Oreochromis niloticus: one gene and its partners. The protein of the gene in region 2 interacts with the protein of the main gene of each other region in a biochemical or structural test. Links are inferred from orthologs where the notes say so. Each region holds a gene or a part of one and is shown on either strand. Other genes may lie near its edges.

The links.
Region 1: of the proteins of ptpn11a (region 2) and cdc73, one has a biochemical effect on the other in vitro, tested with the Homo sapiens proteins (2 studies listed by BioGRID and IntAct). The link is inferred for Oreochromis niloticus from reciprocal best matches to the Homo sapiens genes PTPN11 and CDC73.
Region 3: the proteins of ptpn11a (region 2) and txnipa are reported together in a solved structure, tested with the Homo sapiens proteins (2 studies listed by BioGRID, with this or other methods). The link is inferred for Oreochromis niloticus from reciprocal best matches to the Homo sapiens genes PTPN11 and TXNIP.

Annotation. Positions count from the first base shown.
Region 1 is NC_031982.2:9,749,357-9,756,435, forward strand, and holds the start of cdc73 (parafibromin), read left to right. Parts: upstream 1-4,072; 5' UTR 4,073-4,130; coding exon 4,131-4,261; intron 4,262-4,932; coding exon 4,933-5,038; intron 5,039-5,174; coding exon 5,175-5,244; intron 5,245-5,386; coding exon 5,387-5,449; intron 5,450-5,715; coding exon 5,716-5,768; intron 5,769-6,260; coding exon 6,261-6,349; intron 6,350-6,442; coding exon 6,443-6,656; intron 6,657-7,079. Other genes in the region: parafibromin, read left to right, coding at 1,682-1,787, 1,962-2,031, 2,150-2,212, 2,498-2,508.
Region 2 is NC_031972.2:11,313,300-11,320,409, forward strand, and holds the start of ptpn11a (tyrosine-protein phosphatase non-receptor type 11), read right to left. Parts: upstream 3,010-7,110; 5' UTR 2,513-3,009; coding exon 2,499-2,512; intron 1,044-2,498; coding exon 921-1,043; intron 1-920. Other genes in the region: tmed2 (transmembrane emp24 domain-containing protein 2), read left to right, coding at 5,964-6,143, 6,659-6,851. UniProt on the Homo sapiens protein: Acts downstream of various receptor and cytoplasmic protein tyrosine kinases to participate in the signal transduction from the cell surface to the nucleus. Positively regulates MAPK signal transduction pathway. Dephosphorylates GAB1, ARHGAP35 and EGFR.
Region 3 is NC_031985.2:35,527,596-35,534,905, forward strand, and holds txnipa (thioredoxin interacting protein a), read right to left. Parts: upstream 3,008-7,310; 5' UTR 2,881-3,007; coding exon 2,625-2,880; intron 2,471-2,624; coding exon 2,395-2,470; intron 2,291-2,394; coding exon 2,143-2,290; intron 2,052-2,142; coding exon 1,692-2,051; intron 1,613-1,691; coding exon 1,310-1,612; intron 1,223-1,309; coding exon 1,175-1,222; 3' UTR 248-1,174; downstream 1-247. UniProt on the Homo sapiens protein: May act as an oxidative stress mediator by inhibiting thioredoxin activity or by limiting its bioavailability.

The DNA of each region.
Region 1 (7,079 bases), on a different chromosome or scaffold from region 2:
GGCACTAATGGTAAATGGCTTGTATTTGTATATCGCTTTACTTAGTCCCTATGGACCCCAAAGCACTTTACACTACATTCAGTCATCCACCCATTCACACACACATTCACACTCTGGTGATGGCAAGCTACATTGTAGCCACAGCTGCCCTGGGGCGCGCTAACAGAGGCGAGGCTGCCGGACACTGGCGCCAACGGGCCCTCTGACCACCACCAGTAGGCAACGGGTGAAGTGCCTTGCCCAAGGACAAAATGACCGAGACTGTCAGAGGCTGGGGCTTGAACCGGCAACCTTCCGATAACAGACGAACTGCCAACTCTTGAGCCACGATCGATGTTACAAAGGCAGATTACAATGTAAACACTGTCTCCAGGTGGAAAACAGGAGGAGTGATGCACCTCCTGTTGTCAGGCCTGCAGGGTTCATCCCTGTGGTGTTCTCTGTCTTGCGGCGGACAAACAAATTTTATTTATTTATTTATTTATTTATTTTTACTGGAACAAATAATTTGTGGGGATCTTATTGTGACACCCGATTGTTCTCTCGTTTTTGTTATAGAGGTGTTTTTAAATGGTTATATGGAAAAAAAAATGCATTGGCTGCGTTTTTAGATAAATAGTTTATAACTTTATTGTTTACAAAATTTGTTCATAAGTATTCAAAATTTACAATTTGCATTTCAGGTTATGAAAATAATTTACTAAACATGTCTGTGATTTTTATAGTTAAAAAAAAAAACCGTGACAAGGATTTTCTGTTTTTTGTGTGATTTCAAATCAGTTGTGTTAATACAGTATGTCAAAGAAAAAAAAACCTGTAAATTCAGACACGTGAGGTTGAGCTGAAAAGAATGATACCAAGCAAGGCAAAAAATAAAAAATGAAACAATTTGAAGGTGAAGTACAAATATAAAAAGTAGTCAAAAATGTCTAATTTATATTTTGGACCTCAGAGGGCTAACCCAACAAATCATGAAAAATTAGGTTTCAATTTTTGTTCATGACAGTGCAGATTTCTGACATTTTGTGGAAACTTAAGCGTGTAACAATTTGATTATTTCTAACAAAAATCAGTGTGAAACTGATGAACCACCCATGTTGTGTAGCTTTCTGTATTTTAGACTTATTGGTCTACATATTTATTTATTATACAGGCAATACAGTACATAGAATCCTAATTCATATGTTTTTATGTAACTGAAATGTTTAATTATGTGGGCTACAGAAAATAATTAAGTTATAGACTATATTTATATGAAACTTGTATACTTACTATATTTGAATCATTTTAATCGTATGTAACATGTGCATATGTGTTTTTAAAAAGGCTTTGATTTTGTAACACCTTTCTATACCACCCTTATGCCACCCTAAGAAAATTTCTCTAGATCCGCCCCTGGTCAGAAATCCAGAGAGTCAAGTTGAAACACCTGTGTCCCTACAGTCATGACTATAAACATCTTTCTTCACCGTGCAAAAAGCAAACTTTGGAGCAGTGCTTTAGCTAGCAGAAGAACTGTTGACAGTGGTTGATAAAGTAACTTTGGCTTTGTATTCAAGCTTTAATGCGGTTCACATCATTAAGTGTGCATCACGCAGTAATTCACTTAAAGTTTGTTAGTTGGAAAACTGGACACCTGCATGCTTTTTTAAAAATGTTTTGTGTTTGTTTTGATCTTTAGTACTGGTAAAGAGGGGCAGCCCAAAGAGTACTATACCTTGGACTCTATCTTGTTCTTGCTCAACAATGTGCACCTGCCGCATCCATCCTATGTGCGAAGAGCTGCAGTAAGTGCTCTGGAGTTCATATGAATCAGCCCAGAATCTGTCAGTATCAATCCTTCATTGCTTACCAACGTGCTGTTTGAGGACAATCCTGATTCCAGCCCACAATTTGTCATACATGTAGCATCTTGTTAACTTCAAAGGGTTTTGACTTTTATGATTGTGTGTTGTTTATAGACAGAGAACATCCGTGCTGTCAGACGACCTGATCGAAAGGGCTTGCTTACATATCTTAATGGCGAGAGCTGTAAGTAGCACTTGGACGCTGAGGGGGGAGCTTTCTGTGACATCTAGTACACGTGTTGTCATTCCAGGTTTTGGTTCACTGAAGATTTGCTTAAAATGTACTTTTTGTCCACTTGCAGCCACGTCAACGAGCATCGACAGAAGTGCGCCCATAGAAATAGGTCTGCAAAGGCCAACACAAGGTAAAGTAACAGCATTTTTACAATATGATGTGGAGTTTAAAGCTTCATAACTTAATGCTGAAATGTACATTTTGGGATTAATTACTACTTATAACTGCTAGTGCTGATATAAATAATGGCACATACACTGTCCTGTCGCTAATAGTAATATTTTTTCCAAATAATTTTTATTGAATAAGTGAGTTAAAGGAAGGTGGTATGAAGGAATTTGTTTCGTGCAGTGAAATAATGTTTTTTTGTTTCTTTTTTATTGTTTTTTTTTGTTTGTTTGTTTGTTTTTTTTAGGCATCTTCTGAAGCCAAAAAAAACAAGAGTTGAGGTAAATCATGTTACTTCAGATGTCAGATGTGGCTCATATTGTTCTCTGTGTGGTATCATTAGAAATGTGATGCTTCAAACATCCCCAACCCCCCAGTCAGGACATAGAAATTGACAAAGTCGGAATATTTTAACTTTTAGAATTTTCAGCAGTTTGGGCAGTTAAAGATGTTTGATATTATATCACATTTTATCCTGTAATTTGCTAATAATGTGAAAACTGCTTTCACCTCAAGGATGAGGAACGTGTGCGTCTGGCTGCCCGTCTGGAGGACCATAAAGAAGGCAATGTGCAAAGCTGGTGATGTGTGGGCTGACTTACATTGGAAAGTCCATCGAAGAAGACCAGGGTTTGCTGACCATCTCTGGCTTCAACCTTGGAGCTTTCAGTGTCATTCGTAATTTGGCCCAAGATCTCGTCTGATAAGATTTCGGGGACTTTTCCTGAGTAATGTAATGAGTGTAGAATATAAAGGCCAATTCAACATTTATAGCAAGAGGTTGGCAGGTTAAGAGGAACAATGCAAGAGTCACAGTTTTAGGGTGTTTGCAACTGTAGGTTTACTTCAGGGGGGATTACCTGTAGTTTTCAACATGCATCTATGGTATGAGTTAGCAGGTTTGATGTAGAGATGCTTTAAACCTTCATTTCATGTAGCGTTTCTTAGACATACTTAACATCAGTGAAAGAGAAACCTGAAACAAAGCATACAAAGTCAATGGTAAAACTTGGAGTTGCTTTTTATTGTGTTAATTTCACAGATTTCTTAGATCAGAAAAGTTTTTCTTTAAGTATTAACATCTTGGATTCCTTTTACACTTGAATCCAAATTTGCTTTAGAAAAAGTGTCGCCATATTTCTTTTAACGTATAATCTCACAAGAAGAAAACCAAAAACTCAGCTTTAAAACAATAAACTGGGCTTAGTGTCAAACAAATGTTAGAACAACTAAAATTTGTGGCCAAGCTAAAGCAAAGACCGTCAGTTTTAACAACAGACTAATGCCAATGTTTGGGATTTTTTTTTTTTTTTTTTTTTGTGTGAAAATTTTGTGTTTCAGTCTGAATTCTGTGCATCAGAATTTACATTTTACTGTAATAAAGTACTGTAATAAGCTTTACTTATCACGGTGTAATTTAAATTAGTCTTCATAAAAAAACAAACAATAAACTGACCATGTAACTGTGAAGGATGTTTGTCCCAACATGCTGATGTTTTCATTTTTAATTTTAAAGCAACATCCAGTCTTTTTGGTCAACGTATAAAGTATTTATAACATGACTGTTGACACGTTTTGGGAGATGGACATGAGATTTGATAGTTCTCAAGTGTTTCACAACCATTCTCTTGTATCTGTCCTGCTTAACATGTACCTATTCACTGTAGCGGCGATGTAAAGCCCTTCCTAATAAATAACTTGCTGCTCTGGAAATTTGCTTTCATTTTACCGATAATTGCCTGGGTTGTTGGAACTGATACATCACTGTGATCAAAGTCAAGTTTGCAGTTTAAAGCGTCATTCAGATCAGGCATCTTGAAAGGCCGCACGATGTTGATAACTGGGGGCCTTGCAAACACACTACATACATACAAGTGAAGATGGCGGATGTGTTGAGTGTTCTTCGTCAGTATAACATCCAGAAAAAGGAGATTGTTGCTAAAGGAGATGAAGTTATATTTGGGGAGTTCTCCTGGCCGAAGAATGTCAAGACCAACTACATAATCTGGGGGTATGTCAGTGCTAATAAAATCTTCAAAGTGCTTCAACAGGCCTGCAGCTGATGCTCATCTGTGCCTTGTGCTGCTAGTAACGACGGAAGGCTCGCTAGCTACGAAATGCTAACCCAGCTACTTTCCTCGCTGCTTTCCTTAAAAGTTAAAGCACCCTTTAAATTGTTAGTGCAACAGGGAGGTCTCTTCCATACATTATAGAGCCAATTTTACTAGCTTTCATGAAAGCCAATGTATGTCTGTTAAACTTACCTCGCGAGGGGTTCAGCCAAACTTGTAGTATTGTGTAATGCTAATTAATCACGGACGTTAGCTAGCGAGCGAGTTCTTGCACGGAGACAGAGATTCAGAGTCGAGTTGAAACACCTGTTTGTTTGTTTTTGTTTCTCTTTTAGTCTCTACAGTCCTGACTATAAACATCTTTCTTCACCGTGCAAAAAGCAAACTTTGTGCATGTGACGCAGAAATTAAGGTTGCAACTAGCAGTGCTTTAGCTAGCAGGAGAACTGTTGACAGTGGTTGATAAAGTAACTTTGGCTTTATATTCAAGCTTTAATGCGGTTCACATCATTAAGTGTGCATCACGCAGTAATTCACTTAAAGTTTGTTAGTTGGAAAACTGGACACCTGCATGCTTTTTAAAAAATGTTTTGTTTGTTTTGATCTTTAGTACTGGTAAAGAGGGGCAGCCCAAAGAGTACTATACCTTGGACTCTATCTTGTTCTTGCTCAACAATGTGCACCTGCCGCATCCATCCTATGTGCGAAGAGCTGCAGTAAGTGCTCTGGAGTTCATTGCTTACCAACGTGTTGTTTGAGGACACCCCTGATTCCAGCCCACATTTTGTCATGAATGCAGCATCTTGTAAACTTTAAAGAGTTTTGACTTCGATGATTGTGTGTTGTTTATAGACAGAGAACATCCCTGTTGTCAGACGACCTGATCGAAAGGGCTTGCTGTCATATCTTAACGGCGAGAGCTGTAAGTAGCACTTGGACACTGAGGAAGGGGGTGTTCTGTGGCATCTAGTACAGCCTTTGTCATTTTCCAAAATTGTAATGATTTCTTCCAGGTTTTGGTTCACTGAAAATTTGCGTAAAATGTCCCTTTTGTCCACTTGCAGCCACGTCAACGAGCATCGACAGAAGTGCGCCCATAGAAATAGGTCTGCAAAGGGCAACACAAGGTAAAGTAACAGCATTTTTACAATATGATGTGGAGTTTAAAGCTTAATAACTTAATCCTGAAATTTAAATTTCATGAATAATTACTACTTATAACTGCTAGTGCTAATATCAGTAATGCAACATACACTGTCCTTTTTTTTTTTTAACAAAAAAATTGCATAAGTGAAATAAAGGAAGGTGGGATGAAGGATTTTGTTTTGCATAGTGATATAAAGTTTTTTGTTTGATTTTCTTCTTTCATTGTTTTTTTGTTTTTTTTTTATAGTTAAAAGAGCAGCTGATGAGGCATCTTCTGAAGCCAAAAAACCAAGAGTTGAGGTAAATTATGTTACTTCAGATGTCACATGTGGCTCATGTTGTTTTCTGTATGGTGTTACACAGGACACAGAAATTCACAGTTTTCCTATTCTGACACACTTAACATTGAATTTGTTTACATATTCTTACTGTGAGAAATGTGGACCACTCCCTACACCTGAAAATACTACTACTACTAATCATAATGATGATGATGATAATAATAATAATAATAATGATAATGTATTTTTTAAAATAATTCCATAAGAAAAATATTTAAATGAATTAACTTTGAGATTCTAAATAGTGGAAAACGCAGCTCATTAAATATTCTTCAGTGTTTAGTGTAACTGAATATAAGATGGGTAACTGTGTGTCATGCATGCAGGTGACAGAGTCTGAGTATTTTAACTTTTACAGATTTCAGCAGTGTGGGCAGTTAAAGATTTTTGATATTATATCATTTTTTATCCTTCAATTTGCTAATAATGTGAAAACTGCTTTCACCTCAAGGATGAGGAATGTGTGCGTCTGGACAAGGAGCGTCTGGCTGCCCGTCTGGAGGGCCATAAAGAAGGCATCGTGCAGATCGAACAGATCAGGTATGATCTGGTTATGAGCTTTTACTTATTCTGATTACCAGTTCCACCCAACAGATAGTTCAGCTTATCAAAACATTTCTCCCTGTCTTCCAGATCACTGTCTGAGGCCATGTCTGTGGAAAAAATTGCAGCCATTAAAGCCAAGATTATGGCCAAGAAGCGTTCAACTATCAAAACAGATCTCGATGATGACATAACACTGAAGCAGAGAAGCTTTGTGGATGCAGAAGTGGATGTCACCAGGGATATTGTTAGCAGAGAGCGGGTCTGGAGGACTAGGACAACCATTCTCCAGAGCACTGGAAAGGTTAGTGTACACTTTATGCCAGACTGTTTTCTGGAATAATGAAACTTTCCTTCAGAAGCAAGAGCCTTAAAACAAGTGTGTTGTCAACTAGTGCTGTATAAATGAATTGTAATTGACTTGACACTATAATGCCAGATGTATCATATCATGTAACCAGAAACCCCTTTTAACCCTACATGCACCTCCCTAGAAATCTGTCTAAAACTTGGGTCGACGCGGAAACAACTGAATGGCCTGGAAGATAAAAAGGGGTTTCTAGTTACCTTGTGAGTTACAACATAGATTTCCCACAGAAGTCTAAATCATTTGTTAGCCTCTTGAACCCTAAGGCTACGTTCACACTGCAGGTCTTAATGCTCAATTCCGATTTTTTGATCAAATCTGATTTTTTTTGTCTGCTTGTTCACACTACAAATAAAATGC
Region 2 (7,110 bases):
AGTCCAACTTAATGAGGTGTGGTTCTACTTGAAAGCAAAGTAGGTAGGATCATTTTAATATTCACTTACACTGCTGTGGTGAAACTACACTGTCCTGAAGATGGACTACAAAAAGTGTGTCTTAAATGTTGCTTTATGCAGATCATAAAATAGGAGAATCCAGTAAAAAATATCACTCTTGCAAAATTTGGAGTTTACATATATTATCTCATTTTTTAAAGTGAAATTAAATGATTTGTTGCTCATTCAATCCATTTATATTTTCTCTTCCAGCTGAAGGGATAATGCTGTATAACTCCTGTCTGTTTAAAGGCCTTCAGCATCTGTGACCAAGCCCAAAAAAAAATAAAAAAAATAAAAAAATGGAAAAACCTAAGGCTGGCAATACTGAAAAGTCCAACCATTCAAAATTTACTTTGATCACCTTAACAGAAACTCAGTCTTTGTCAAGTTGATTTGTAAAAAATTTTTATAAAGTGCAAAAGCAGATTTTATTAAAACAGCGGAACAATCACAGTTCATCCATTGCTTCCTGTATTGTAATGGTTTTTAAAACTCTTATGCACACCACAGGGATAGCCAAAATATCAAAGCAAACCTCTGTAAAGTTGACTCTGACAGTCAACTTTGTATGTTCCTTGTTTCCTTACTTGTTTCATGAGCAAGAATGTACTGTTTTATTTTTATTTTAATCTAACTTGTAAAAGGGTAATGCAAAACAATTCTTCTGCTGTAAAGTCAAAGAAAGGCATCCAGATCATTGAAAGAAAAGAAAAAAAAACATTGGATCAGGAGACAGATTATTCAATGTCCAAATGTTTGCTCCAGTAACACTGTTTAGTTTTCACAATCCCCACAGTACACTAGGGATGCACCTCTGGAGTATGGTGCTTTGTACAAACGTGTGTAATTTCACTTACCGTACTGAGAGCGTGAAGTCTCCTGGATTGCTTTTACTGGGTCTGGCTAAAAAGCTCCCGTCCACTCCACGAGTCAGCAGAAGGTTTTCAGCCTCCACACCTGTGATGTTGGGGTGAAACCACCTGAAAGAGGACAAGTAAAATAACAATTTAGACTTACTGTTAAGTACATGCATTTAATTTTTACTCATTATAAAGTGCATTGTGTGAACTTTTTGCCAAAAATCCATACATTGCACAACAACAACATGACATAATAAACTCAGAGTTGATGGTCAGTTATAGTACTAAGAGGTGCCCAAAATTATGAATTAACTGCTTAAAACTTGATTATTTGCAATTTTCAATCCACTATTCAGAGAAAGTATTATCAAAGTTCTTCTAAAAGTTTGTAGTTACATCTCCAGTCACTTATCTGGGCATTTTGAAGTAATACTCAAGTTTAATTTGAATGGTCACCTGGACATGAAAGCTGAATCTGATTAAAACAGCTTAAATGTGTCAATGACTTACACAATAATGAGGATTTCAAAAGGCCACTGGGGAAGTTATTCCTATCACCATCCTTGCTGTTAAAAATGTCTTGCCTAGATTTTAATAAACGATTCCTTTGAGAGTCTTGTCTCTCTCTTACAATGTTTCTGGTATTATTGCACAGGGTGCTTGCTGACATCGAGACTGATTTGGAGCCAAAGGTATAAAAGAGCCACACTGTCTTTGTCTTTCTTCACTTCCTCTCTATCCAACTCTGTATATTCCAGTAAAGACATTCGGAGGCTGACTGCGCTCTTTCTACAAGTTGCCACCCGGCACTCCCCCGAAAAGACTGCCTGCCTGTTTCACTCATGCGTCCATTGTGGTCATCTCCTGCCTCTGCCTCCCTGTGAATATGATCTTCATCTTTTCCCTCTCGTCTGTACAAGAAGTCTGTGGTCTGTGCACCATCTATGTGAAATATCTTTATTCCACTCGCTAACGATGACTTTTTAACGCGTTACATTTATAATCTAAGGAATTTAATTTACTTAAAATGTTGAAACTGCTATGACTTCTGCCTACTCTGCACATATCTATAACGTGAAAGCACTTCATTTCCGTTTTTCTGATGCACTCCTGCTGTTTTCCCGTTTTCTCGTTAAAATGACTCGTTAATTTTTGTATCAATATGGGGTGTCTTATGTTCAGTTATTTGTAAATACAGCTGGTTTGACTTGGACAGCAGCTCAAAGCATAACAAATCAATCCAGTAAGATGCATCTGTTAACAGCAGCTGTAGCAGGGTTAGTTAACTTTAACTGTACCTATTAGTAACTACAGTTTGTGGACAGCTTAGCTTTGTATGTTCTGTACCAATGTTACAGCGCTGTTTACTTAACAATTTAAGACTGCTTTAAGTTGCCGGTGTAACGCTAAATGAAGCAGCCCTACACCACCTATTTCTGTTTATTTCCAGAAACGTCGGAACTCTCATTGACCGTCTACCGACATACCAAGATCCAAACAGCTGAGTTCACTTAAAGTTAGCAGACTCAGCTAGCATTATCAGCAGACATTGTTTTCCAGACAGCCCCCGCTTACCTCCGAGATGTCATTTTTTTCGTTCCTCACTTCCTCGCTGGCAGTTAGCAGTAGCTTTAATTAGCTGGCTAACGTTTCCCACCGTTAAAGCTTCAGTTACAGTATAAAGTGCTTCATTGGTTCACATCCGGTCAAAACGGGCACCTAAATCTAGTTAAGCATCGACACAAATTTTTTTGATAGCGCCCGTTACAAAAAAATGTCTCTAGGCCTCGGCCCCGGAGACTTCACAGCAAGTCGATTATTGGACGTCACCAAACCTGCGACAAAACAGAGGGTGTAATGGATTTTTTCACCCTCGGCGGCCGTTTCTCGTGGTCGCTTTAACCCGCTTAAATAAAAGCTACAGATCTCGGTCCGTCCGGTAAACGGCGTCAGATAAATTAAAGAGCCAGATCACTTTCACTCAGCGCATGCTCGTTAAAAGGTTTTTTTACGATACAGCGGCGAAAGCGGCAAACGACGAAGAACGTCTGCGAAGGCTTCTCGAACAGTTCGTTGACTGTCTGTGCTCACGGCAAAGCGAAACTTAATCGCAGCTCTAAGCCCTAACGGGAGATAAATTACATTTCATATGTTATTTGTGACGTAATTAGATGCGCAACCATTTTTAAAATGATATTATGAAACTTTCGTAATGTTTTGTTGTGGCGACTCGGGTTATTAGAAACGCGTAAAAATAAATACAGATAAAATTAGTATACATTAACAAATTTTTTCTGTTTGAACATTTTACATGCAATCTTTGAGCTATCCAATATTTGTCATTTGCTTTGTAAGCAAAAACATATAAAATATTTCACATAAAACAGAGACTACCTTAGGAGAAAGTCAAGTGGTGATGTAAGTAACTTTATCACTGAAGCATTGTACTCTTTTCCCCAAAATAGTACATCCATAAGACTGGTGAACATGCATCTTCCTTTTAAATCATTTTATTTATATTTGATCCAACAAATATAAATATTTGGAGAAACCTATTAAAACCTTGGCCAACATTCAAGTCATGATGGATGAGATTTCAACCTGGCAAACAGGGTGCTGGTGTAAACTGCTAATATTGGCCAAAGACAAAGGAAAAGAAGAGGAGGAGGGTGTGTTAGGAGGCAATGAGAGAGTAGGAAAGACAGAAGTCTGGGGGTTAAAGTTGGCAGTATAAATATACTGTGGTAGATATATTGTTTATGCAGGAGACCAGATGGAAGGGAAGCAAGGCCAGGAGTATTGGAGGGGGATTCAAGCTGCTCTACCATGGTGTAGATAGAAACAGGAGTGGAGTAGGGGTAAGGAAGAGTATGTGAACAGTGTTGTGGAGGTGAAAAGTGTCAGGCAGGAACATGAGTCCGAAGCTGGAAATCGAATGGTCGATGTTGAATGTTGTCAGTGCGCATGCCACACAGGCTGGATGTCAATTAGAAGAGAAAGACAAATTCTGGAGTAAGTTGAGTAAGTCAGATGAAGCAATAATGTCCCCAGGGGGGACATTATTGTGATTGGTGCAAAATTCTATGGACATGTAGACAAAGGGAACAGAGGTATTAAGTAGGTAAGGTGTTAGAGAAATGCAGAGGGACAGATAATAGTACATTCTGCAAAAAGGATGGAAATGTCTGTACTAAACATGTACTTTAAGAAGAGGGAAGAACACAGGGTGACATATAAGAGATGAGGAAGGTGCACACAGAGGGACCACATCTTATGCAAAATGTGCAATCTGAAAGATATAGGAAACTGGAAGGTGGTGTCAGAGGAGAATGTCATTAAGCAGCATCAGATGGTTGTCTGTAGGATGCCTTTGTACATTAAGAAGAGGAAGCAAGTGAAGGCAGAGGCAAGGAGTAAGTGAAAGAAGTTGAAGAAAGAAGAATGTTGCACAGAGTTCAGGAAGAAGTTGAGGCATACTCTGGGTGGAAAGAAAGAGTTACCCGATGACTGGGAAAGTACAGCTTTAGTGCTGACACTGGTGTTTGGTGGATCCTCTGGACACAACCGGGTAAAGCAGACCTGGTGGTGAAATGATGAAGTACATGAAACTATAGGAAATGAAATGAAACAGGTTAGTAAAGAAGGAGTGACATATTTAGGAGATGAAGAAAATAGATAGGAGTACGGGACGGCTAGGAATACAACAACGAGAGAGGTGGCAAATGAGAAGGATTGTAGTGTGTTGTAAGTAAGAAACTAAGGAAGGAGAAAAGGACTTTTGCTGATTGGCTAGACAGAGAAATTGAAATGGAAAGTATATGCTGCAGGTTAGAGTGGTTAAGCATAGAGATGAAAATGTACTAACAATAGAAGAGAGTGTGTTAAGATGACGGAAGGAGCACTTTGAGCTGCTGATAATTCCAGAAAATGAAGGAGACAGGAAAACAGATGGAGAAAAGTTAGTGAATCACAATGAGTGGAGGATTAATAAGGAGGAAGTGAGGGCAGCTATGAAGAGGATGAAGAGTGCAAACCGAGTTTATCCAGATGACATACCTGTGAAGGCATGGAGATGTCTAGGAGAGCCGTGTTCCAGGTTGTGTTAAACAGTCTTTTGGTTCAAACTGTTTAATACAATGTTGTAAAGTGACAGGAAACCTGAGGAATGGAGAAGAATCAAAATACTTTATTAAGCTGAGGGGAAATTATTTGGTCACTGTTGCTCCAAGACAGTAAGAACAGTAACTTACTAAACTGAATTAAATAATACAAAATATTACAAAGTTACAAATCTAACAAAAAAGTATTCAAGTCTGTCATTCATGCCACACTACAAAAAAGTCTTACAGTGATGCACTGTGTCTTCAAGTAGTATTATCTTCAAGTAGAGTTTTGAACTGCTATGCAACATTAATAAATTATTATTATCATTATTATTGTCGTTACTGCAAAATGCTATCAACTGATATGAAATGTTTTCATAATCGTGTACTATTACTTAGATGACTTAGTGCTGTTGTTTTGGATATTTTCTTATTATATTCTTATTATATATTTGTATAAATATATGTATTTAACTCATTAAATTAGTGCATTTTCACTTATGTTCGTTTGATTTGATTTTTTTTATAAATCAGAAAAAAGTATTTACATTCAGAGTAAAAACACAAATTATAGTAAACTAAAGAACACGACTCTTTAATTATTCGTGTTGCACATAAAGACCCTTTACGGGGTTGACTTTGGCAAGCAGATATAACTTACATGGACTTAAGGGACTTCTTCCAATAACAAATGAGAAAACGAAGAGTTGTCTTTCACTTCCTTTTCAGTGTGTGTCATGTATTCTCGGAGGTTTGGCCCTCGCAGGTACCCGTGCAGTAAGCCCGTACGTGGCAGTCTGAGAGCAGCACAGAGTAGCCGAGCTTGTTGCGGCTCGTCTCCTGCAACAGTCCACTCACACAAACTGGATATACATTAGCATAGAAAATTTTTATACCGTCAGCTTTACGTTTACGCTCTCCATACAACCACGGAAACATGTTTACCTTGTCGGAGCTAGTTGTCTTGCTGGCCGTCCTGTCTGCCACTGCTTCTGGCTACTTCGTTAGCATAGACGCCCATGCCGAGGAGTGCTTCTACGAGCGGGTCAACTCCGGTACCAAGATGGGCCTCATGTTTGAAGTGGCCGAAGGAGGCTTCCTGGACATCGACGTCGAGGTGAGATGTTTCATTCGGATAGCAAAAGAGTCACCTAACGCGAGGCAGAATGTACTTGTAAATCATAAAATGCAATGCAACACAAGGCCTGTGCTAATGTTAGCTATTAGCCGGTACCGTCAGGTAAAACTAGTTGGATGCAAAGCAGGTGTAAAGGATTTAACATACAGTTGAATGGAAAACGTTTACATCTTACAGAGTTGCTTTTTTTAGTTTCCCGCTAAGAGCTGCTCCATAATGATGATTAAATTACCCATTATGATATAGGAAGTGCAGCATTAGCATTGTTTCTAAGTTGCTAATTATGTAGCTAATTATTGATTATTGAATAGTCAATGCGCTGTAGACGTTGTAGAATTCGTTTATTTTCGCTAGTTTTAAGCAGAAAATCTAGCTATTTCTGCAGACAGTCTGACTTAGTTTCTGCCATATGTTTCCTAAAGCACATCATGCCCGTCATGTTATTCTCCACTCAAGCAGCAATGTCAGTTATTTAGATATTCTTCTATCTCCAGATAACAGGACCTGACGGTAAGCAAATTTACAAAGGGGACAGAGAGTCCAGTGGGAAATACTCTGTGGCAGCGCACATGGATGGAACCTACAAGTTCTGCTTCAGCAACAAGATGTCAACCATGACACCCAAGATTGTCATGTTCACCATTGATATCGGAGAGGCTCCCAAAGGCCAAGATATGGAGACGGAAGGTACACAGTGGGGATTTATGTAGTTTAACCGCAACTCTTTTTATTCCTGTTGCTTGTAAAATTATTATTCCTTTTATTCATTTCTCATTTTTTGACTTTATTATGTGGATTCACTGTTTCCCTCTTCGTAGGTGGTGACAGCTGGGATGGTAGGGCACAGCAGGCTTTGACTAAACTACTGTTGTGAAATAAATTTTTGAGCTTGTGATGCACTGCAGTCTTCTCTAACCAGAGTTGCGTCTGTAGTAAAAACTAATTA
Region 3 (7,310 bases), on a different chromosome or scaffold from region 2:
CTTTGACCTAAACGCTCAGTGGCCTGAACACTTTTATTGTATTAATCTTTCTCTTTGTTGTCATCTACTCAGGGAAAACGCCCCGACCTCACAGAAATGGGCAGATAGAACTCTGCATACACGATTAAAGACCTCTCCATAGGCTCAATGGGCAAAGAGTTTGTGCAAGCTGAACAAAAACCTGCATCGATTAAAAATTTCTAGCTGAGAACCAGAAAAAGAAGAAGAAAAAAAAAAAAGAGACAAGTGAGTGGATAGTTTTTAATAAAAAAAAGAACCCATAGGGTTTCATACAAAATAAAAAAATCTGCACATATCAAGAGCGTATTACAAACATATTTTCTCACAAATCAGTCATTAACAGTGATTTCCCTGCGCCCTGAAAGAACAGAAGTTGTGAATTCACAAAAGTGGAACTCTTAAATGAAATGTTGTCTGGGACAACTGCAGATCAGATACAAGGATTCACCTCAGATAAAGTGCGTTCCATAGAGAGCGTGTGGTATGGGCGGCACTCACAGTAATTAGCGCCAGCCACCAAGCTGTGATTTGGAAGCTGCATATCTCCACATCAAAAACATTGTTCAACTGAACAGAGTCTTCTAGGCAGTAGTAGAGTCAAAAGCGATCAAAAAGTGCAACAATACAGGAATAAAGGATACTACTGACATTTAAGGAAGAAATTTACATGCTGTAATTCTCAAAAGCAACAGTGTTCCCAACAAATTCGTAACAGCGATGCAAACTGAGTGGACTGGTAAAAGGAGGTTTCCTTTTGTGTAGTCCTGTAAAAATACAGGCTTGGAGTGGAATGAGAAAAAGCGACGGTGCCAAAGCAGACCAGTGCTTGGACCAGTAACAAAGTCATAGTGGCTGTAAATGGAGAGTGAGACTCTGGCAGTCTCTGGAAAGGGCAGCTTATTCAGAAATGCAGCATATCACTGTGCCATCTGGCCTCAACATCTCTGGTCTGAAGAGCACGAGCAGGAAGACTCATAAGCGATGAAGCAGGTTGAAGGCAGCTGATGTAGCAAACGACCAACATTTCTGTCCACCTCCACATTCGTGCCTTTACTTCTCCATCCAACCTCCTCTGGAGTTTAGACCTTCTGCCTGTTTTCAAGTTTGGTCCTTAACAGGTGGACCACAGTTCCACGGTTCCCACTGGTAGACTTCAGCAGACCGGCAGCATGCGAGCATTGCCGTTGAACTCCTCCTCTGCCTGAAAAAGCACATAATTCCTTTTAGTTATCTCAAGGAACACAACTTCTTATTAACAGGACACTTTTAAGTTACCAGAGATCCTTACCTCACTGTATGCTGGAGGCGCTGGGTACTGGAAGGCTGGTGCGTTCATGAAGATGGGACTCTCATCGCCGTCAAAGTCATCAAGGAGAGGTGTGAGAGGCTGGTCTAGGCGGCAGTCCCGCGTCACGTCGCAGTAGCTGGGAGGTTCAGAAGGCATCCTGAGAGACACCCAGCTCTGGGAGGCAGTGCTGGCTGAACTGTCCTGGCTGCTCACACTGTTGCTGCGGCTGCCCAGACCGGCAGTCCCAATGACCAAAGGCAACTCCAGGATCAGCTTATCACTACCAGGAATGTGTACGTAAATCTATGATGTAGAAAAACAACGTTATTAACACCAATGTTTACGAGATAAACACCAAAACTTTCAAGAACTGAAGGCTCACCATCAGAGCGTACTCCACGCGGATGATGTTGCAGCCCAGCATGGATGGTTTGATCTTCGGTACCCTGATAGTTTTTCCCTGCCAGGCGTCGCACATCCCAGAGATGATGTGGTTACCACGCACCGAGGACAGCTTCTGGCGTAGGATCTTGGTGCGGCCGTTTGCCTGGTAGGTGTGTTTGGCTATGATGGCAGCCTTGGGCACAACAATGCGGGAGCAGGTGTTCTCAAACTTTGCATTGATGCAAATCTCTTCGCCTTCACAGAATCCACGCCGGTCAATTTTTGCATTCAACGACACCTGACCGTCAGGGATGAACATGCAGGTGACTTTCTTCTCCTTCATGCCACCTGCTGGAGACTGAAGAGCAGCAGAAAGACAGTGTTTGGTTATGCAGTCCCAAGCTTCAATGACAAAAACACTGACTATGTTTTGGCATTAGTGAACTCACCAGCAGGTCTGGGGTGTTGACATCCAGTGGCTCCTCCACCTCGAAACATTTCTTGCACTCCAGCACGGGCTGCTGCGGCCTCTCCATCAGGGCTTTGACACAGTACTGAACGTAGCCAAACTTCCCCTTGTATGACGACACCAGTTGCCTGTAAGAACCGTTATTGCTCCATCACTTGTAAGTCAGTGAAGAGGTGCACACTGCATCTCTTTAGATAAATGGAAAATCATGCGTCACATAGCGCATCCTCACCCTTGCTGAGGGAGCTCGAATCCAAACGTGTACTCGTACTTGTTGCCAGGTCTCAACACCACGGAGCCGTCAGAGTCTGGAAAAGAAAGTAAAACCCTTTACTGCATTATTCATGTACAGCAGGTTTCACTGCTGCCCTAACAATTATTACAACACCCACAAACATGTTTTAAGCCGGTAAATGTCTAACACGCATTCCAGGATATCCAGCATAAAGGTCATTCCCGTACCTGTGGGCTGGTCTTGCAGCCGCAGGACCGCTTCATATCTGAGGTACTCGGCCTCCTGTCGGCACCGCTGCTTGCCTTTAGCGTACTCCACCTTGGCGCAGCCCAGACCCAGAAGCTTCAGCGCGGACACCCGCATCATTTCGCTGACTTCCACTTCGACACGGCCAGACACCGTGTCTCCGCCGCAGTAAAAAGTCTTACTGGGATCGGAAAAGATTATCTGAAAGATTTTCACTTTCTTCGTCATCGCCACCATGATTGGCAATCTCGAAAATGGACAAAAAGAGCTGAAACGTTAAACTTCACAAACAAATCCCTTGGAAACTATCGGTAATCCATACACGTCGAGCGACCAATTCACTTTGCTGTAAACAAAGGGAGGAGGCTGCTTTTATGAGCTGGGCACGAAGAGGCAGAATGAACAGCATGGCTCAGTGCGTGCACACTGCTCTGATTGGTGGAGAAAGCTTTGTTTGTGTCAGCCCTGCCCAATCAGCGCAATGAAGCAACGCGTGAACACCGCGTGGCTGGAAGAATGTACAGCGTGCTTAGCAGATGCCTGCACAGGAAACTGAAAGAACACAGAGAGAACATTGCATTTATAGTAAACACGTTCAGACGCGTGCAATCATGGCCTGACAATGAGTCAGTTCAGTATCACATGTAGGGGAAACCTGAAAGCCCACAGTATCACCAAATACTTTGATAAAGTAGAATAAACGGAACACATGTATTTTGTTTTTGTGAGTGATTATAATCTATAAGGCACATGAAATTATAATTATATTGAAATATTTAATTCTTTAACATTTTCAATTTTTCTATAGCCTTTTTTGTCCAGTAGCTGTTTTAAAGAATGAATCGAATGCTCAAGGTGGCGAGGTCAACACTCTAAACAGAGTGCTAAAAAATGGATGGATATCCTTTATGCGAGCTTCAGGAAAATAAGGAAGTGTTTTATACAATATAAGCATTTAAAAAGGGAAGTATAATACTGACTGCAGGGATGAGTCTTTGTCTAAAACAGGGATGTCAAGCTCATTTTATATAGTGGGCGACATACAGCCCACTCTGACCTTACATGGATGAGTCAAACTAATTTCAGTCAGTGCCAAAAGTTCAACTACACGTGTAATCAATAAGATCTCTTAACATAAAACAACGAGCAGCAGGTTCAACATTTCTCAGGTTTTCTACATAGTAAAGAATTCCTGCTGTAGTAAAAGAAAGAAATCGGTCAGCATGACTCTTTGAACTTAACCTGTAATTAGTCATGTGCAAAAATAACAAAATGTAGTTACTTTGGTGTACTGTCAGTGGACACGTGGGAGGTTTTCATGAGAAGGAAAAACTGTAAAACTTGTGAAAATAAGTGTAGAATAAAGAAAATTTATGGCCTCAGAAAAACCCCAACCTAGCCAAGCAGGCTGGATTGGAGTTTTCCTGGCCCCGAGGCCTCATGTTTGACAGCACTAGTCTAGAAGATGTTAAAATAGCCTATCCCAACACCTTCATGAGAGGCCCTGGAGAAATCTAGCCATTTCTAGGTTAAACCTAGTATTTGAGAGCTCCCAGTTCACAGCAGCTTTCTTAGGAATGTCGATACGGTGTCTTGTTCCTGCACGAAGCCATTCTGGCCATTCTGAGCTCCGTGAACTTCAACCTACTTTTTGTGTGAGGGGGCGGTCTGGCAAGCTAATGGAGTACTGCTGCTTCCCAGTGGAGAAGGTAAGCTACTACAGTATACCAGCACCCTCTGCATCAAGATCAAACACCCAGTGTCAATGAGTGCTAGTCTCAAGTTTAATAGGACAGTGCAGGAATTAAATCTAGGACAAGGCAAGACTTTAAAAACAAAAACTTGATCCTTTTCTTTAAGGATAGTTAGTGATATAATGAAAGCAAAAAAAATTCCCCACATCTCCCTCATTAGATTCTGGAACAGTCAGACCTGAACACGTGTAAACATCAACCTTCAGATGTCCAGCAGTCATGTCCCAAAACCATCATGAAGTCAGGAGCTTTAAAAAGTATTACCACTAAGTATTCATTTTCAGCAACAAAACAAAACACTTGTTTCTGCAAGCCAAAGACTTAACCTTAAACAAATAAGGTCCAAACACAAGTGCCAAGTCAAGGTTTGGCTTTAACATGACATCCTTTATTAAATCTCTCATTTGCAAAAGTTATAACACGTTTCCTTCAAAGCCAGCGCCAGCCCGGAGAACAGTCTCCTCTCAGGAATCACTGATCTGCCCCTGAAAGGAAAAGAACACAGATTTCAGATACAGAATGACTGTAGCACCTTCAATAAGTGAAGTCAGTGACGCGCATAAATTATGTTGAAGTTGTCAGCTTCTCTTCCACCAGCACCCATTTAGCTCGACTCTACAGTTTATTTTTCATTACACTCAACTACTGCCCCAATGTGCTAGGCGTCGTTATAGCTACAGCATCATGATTCTTTACCCTCACCCCAAACCAGTCATAGGAGATGATTACCACCTCCCGCTGAGCCTGGATCTGCTGGAGCTTCTACCATTGTAGGGTCTTTACAATAAAAGCACCTTTATTGTGAACTGGCCTTATATAAATACATTTTTATTGAATTAAAGTGATTGAGAGTCACCTTCCTGAAAGTGAAGGCTCAACATATCATTAATCCTGGAATTTAGCTTTTTCATACACCCCTCAGGAAATGTTCCCAACAGGTTCTTCTAAGCTGGTTGCTTGAGAAGCCCACTGGGATGGCTTGTTTTTTGGTCATGTCCACAGCTAAACAGGAACACAGAATCCTGACAGCCTTGGTTCATGACCACTTTAAAGCAACACACACACACACACACACACACACACACACACACACACACACACACTTTACTTACAGCGATCAGCTGCAGTCCTTTCCATGCAGGCAGGACAGCCTTCAGAGTCTGAAACACATGGGTTTATTAAATTATTGGACCGTGTCCTGTCATGTGGACATCTACATGCTCTGTGCAAAAGCCAGTTTTCTCTTTATGAAGACCGTCTTTAGACTCAGGCCTGCTTGCTGCAGTCTTCAGTTAACTGTCAAGTCTAAAGTTAATTGTTCACCTGCACATTTCATTTTCACTGCTGTCACTTTGCATGCGAGCAGCTATTAAGCTGGCTTTTCCTCATACTGGAGCTTGTTGAACAGGAAAAGTTTTAATGTTTATTACAGTAACAACAAGTGCCGCTGTTTTGGATGCTCGGAAAGAATTCCTTCATACCGTCGCAGTAACTGCTCTGCCTCTTTGCTCCAGATCTTTCTCTTTTTAAATTTACAAATGTTGCTGAAAACCTCATATTGTGAGTTTTATAGAGTTCAGGGATTTTCAGAGACTTAATATTTTTTAAAATTAATATTTAAAAAGGAAACACTGTTAAAGCAGGCACGTGATATGCACATAACCTCACGCTACTCACACTATACTGTTTACTACTATCCATGTTTATCTGTGTGGTCCACCCTAACCAGTGATATGAAAACAGTCAGTCCACTGATAAGACTTGTAAACAATGACTTTGCAAAATGCAGAATAGGAAATCTATGGAGTAGTTGGGTAATATTTGACAGACTTGTTCTGCATCAGTATCTCACAACGCTCATGGCAGTGAACGTGTGGGTAAAGCGAAACAGATTTACTTTGTGAGGCATTTCCAACGACATGGCCCTACAGCGAAAGGTCTGTCGGGATAGACCTCAGCATACTACTGAGCATAAATGATATGCATGAATACATCAAGCATCAGTGAGTTTCTTACTTGAATTTGATTCATTTCAGTGTCTTCAGTTGGACAGTCTGCTGCTTCCTCCTTTTAACAATAGAGGGTTTGTCACAAGCACCATCGCCCTCATTCCTCCACCTCACCTCGTGGGAAACATGGTGACACTTACAGGGATATGAGGTGTGGCAGCAACATTTTGGCACAACCTGCTGATACAGAATAATTTTAATTACACAAGATAAACAGTGTTAGAAACAAGACAATTTGCATATGCACTTGTTCTTACTCTGTGCAAAAACACATTTCCACAGACATTAGTAAGTAAGGACCAATGCTCCAGCCCCTTTTGTCCTTTGGGCCAATCCTCACCTTTATTACTGAAGTTGAAACGTTGGATCAGGACATGATCATTTGTGGCAGCAGAAACCTGGAAAAAGGTTAACAGTGAGCTCAGTAGTTGATGGAGGGTTACTGAGACAAACAAGTTGGCTGATTACAAAAGCAATTTTCAGATCAGCGACAAAAATTAAGTTGCAGAAAAAAAAGAAAAAAAAAATCAAAACAAAAAACGCCAAACAGCTTTATGTGACGAGGAGTACGGATCCACAAGTAATACAGTGTGTATCAACATGTTTACCAGGACTCCCAACACAAGCAGTCAGGAGACCAACGATGCCATTTGTTGAGTTCATCTTGCACTGACTTTTGAACAAACCAGCTAAAGAAGCAGCTGGCTGCAGATACCACACAGTGCTGCCTTTGTGGCTCAAATTCACTTCTCCTTGAGATTAACATTCATTCTAAAGGATCTTGTTTTTCCTTTTGTACATTTTGATTCACTGATTGCAATCATCTGTCAGTTTGGTTTTCACTGTGGTGGACATTTACATCGCGGGAGTAAGTGATATGGATGCAGAAACTTGACATACCGTT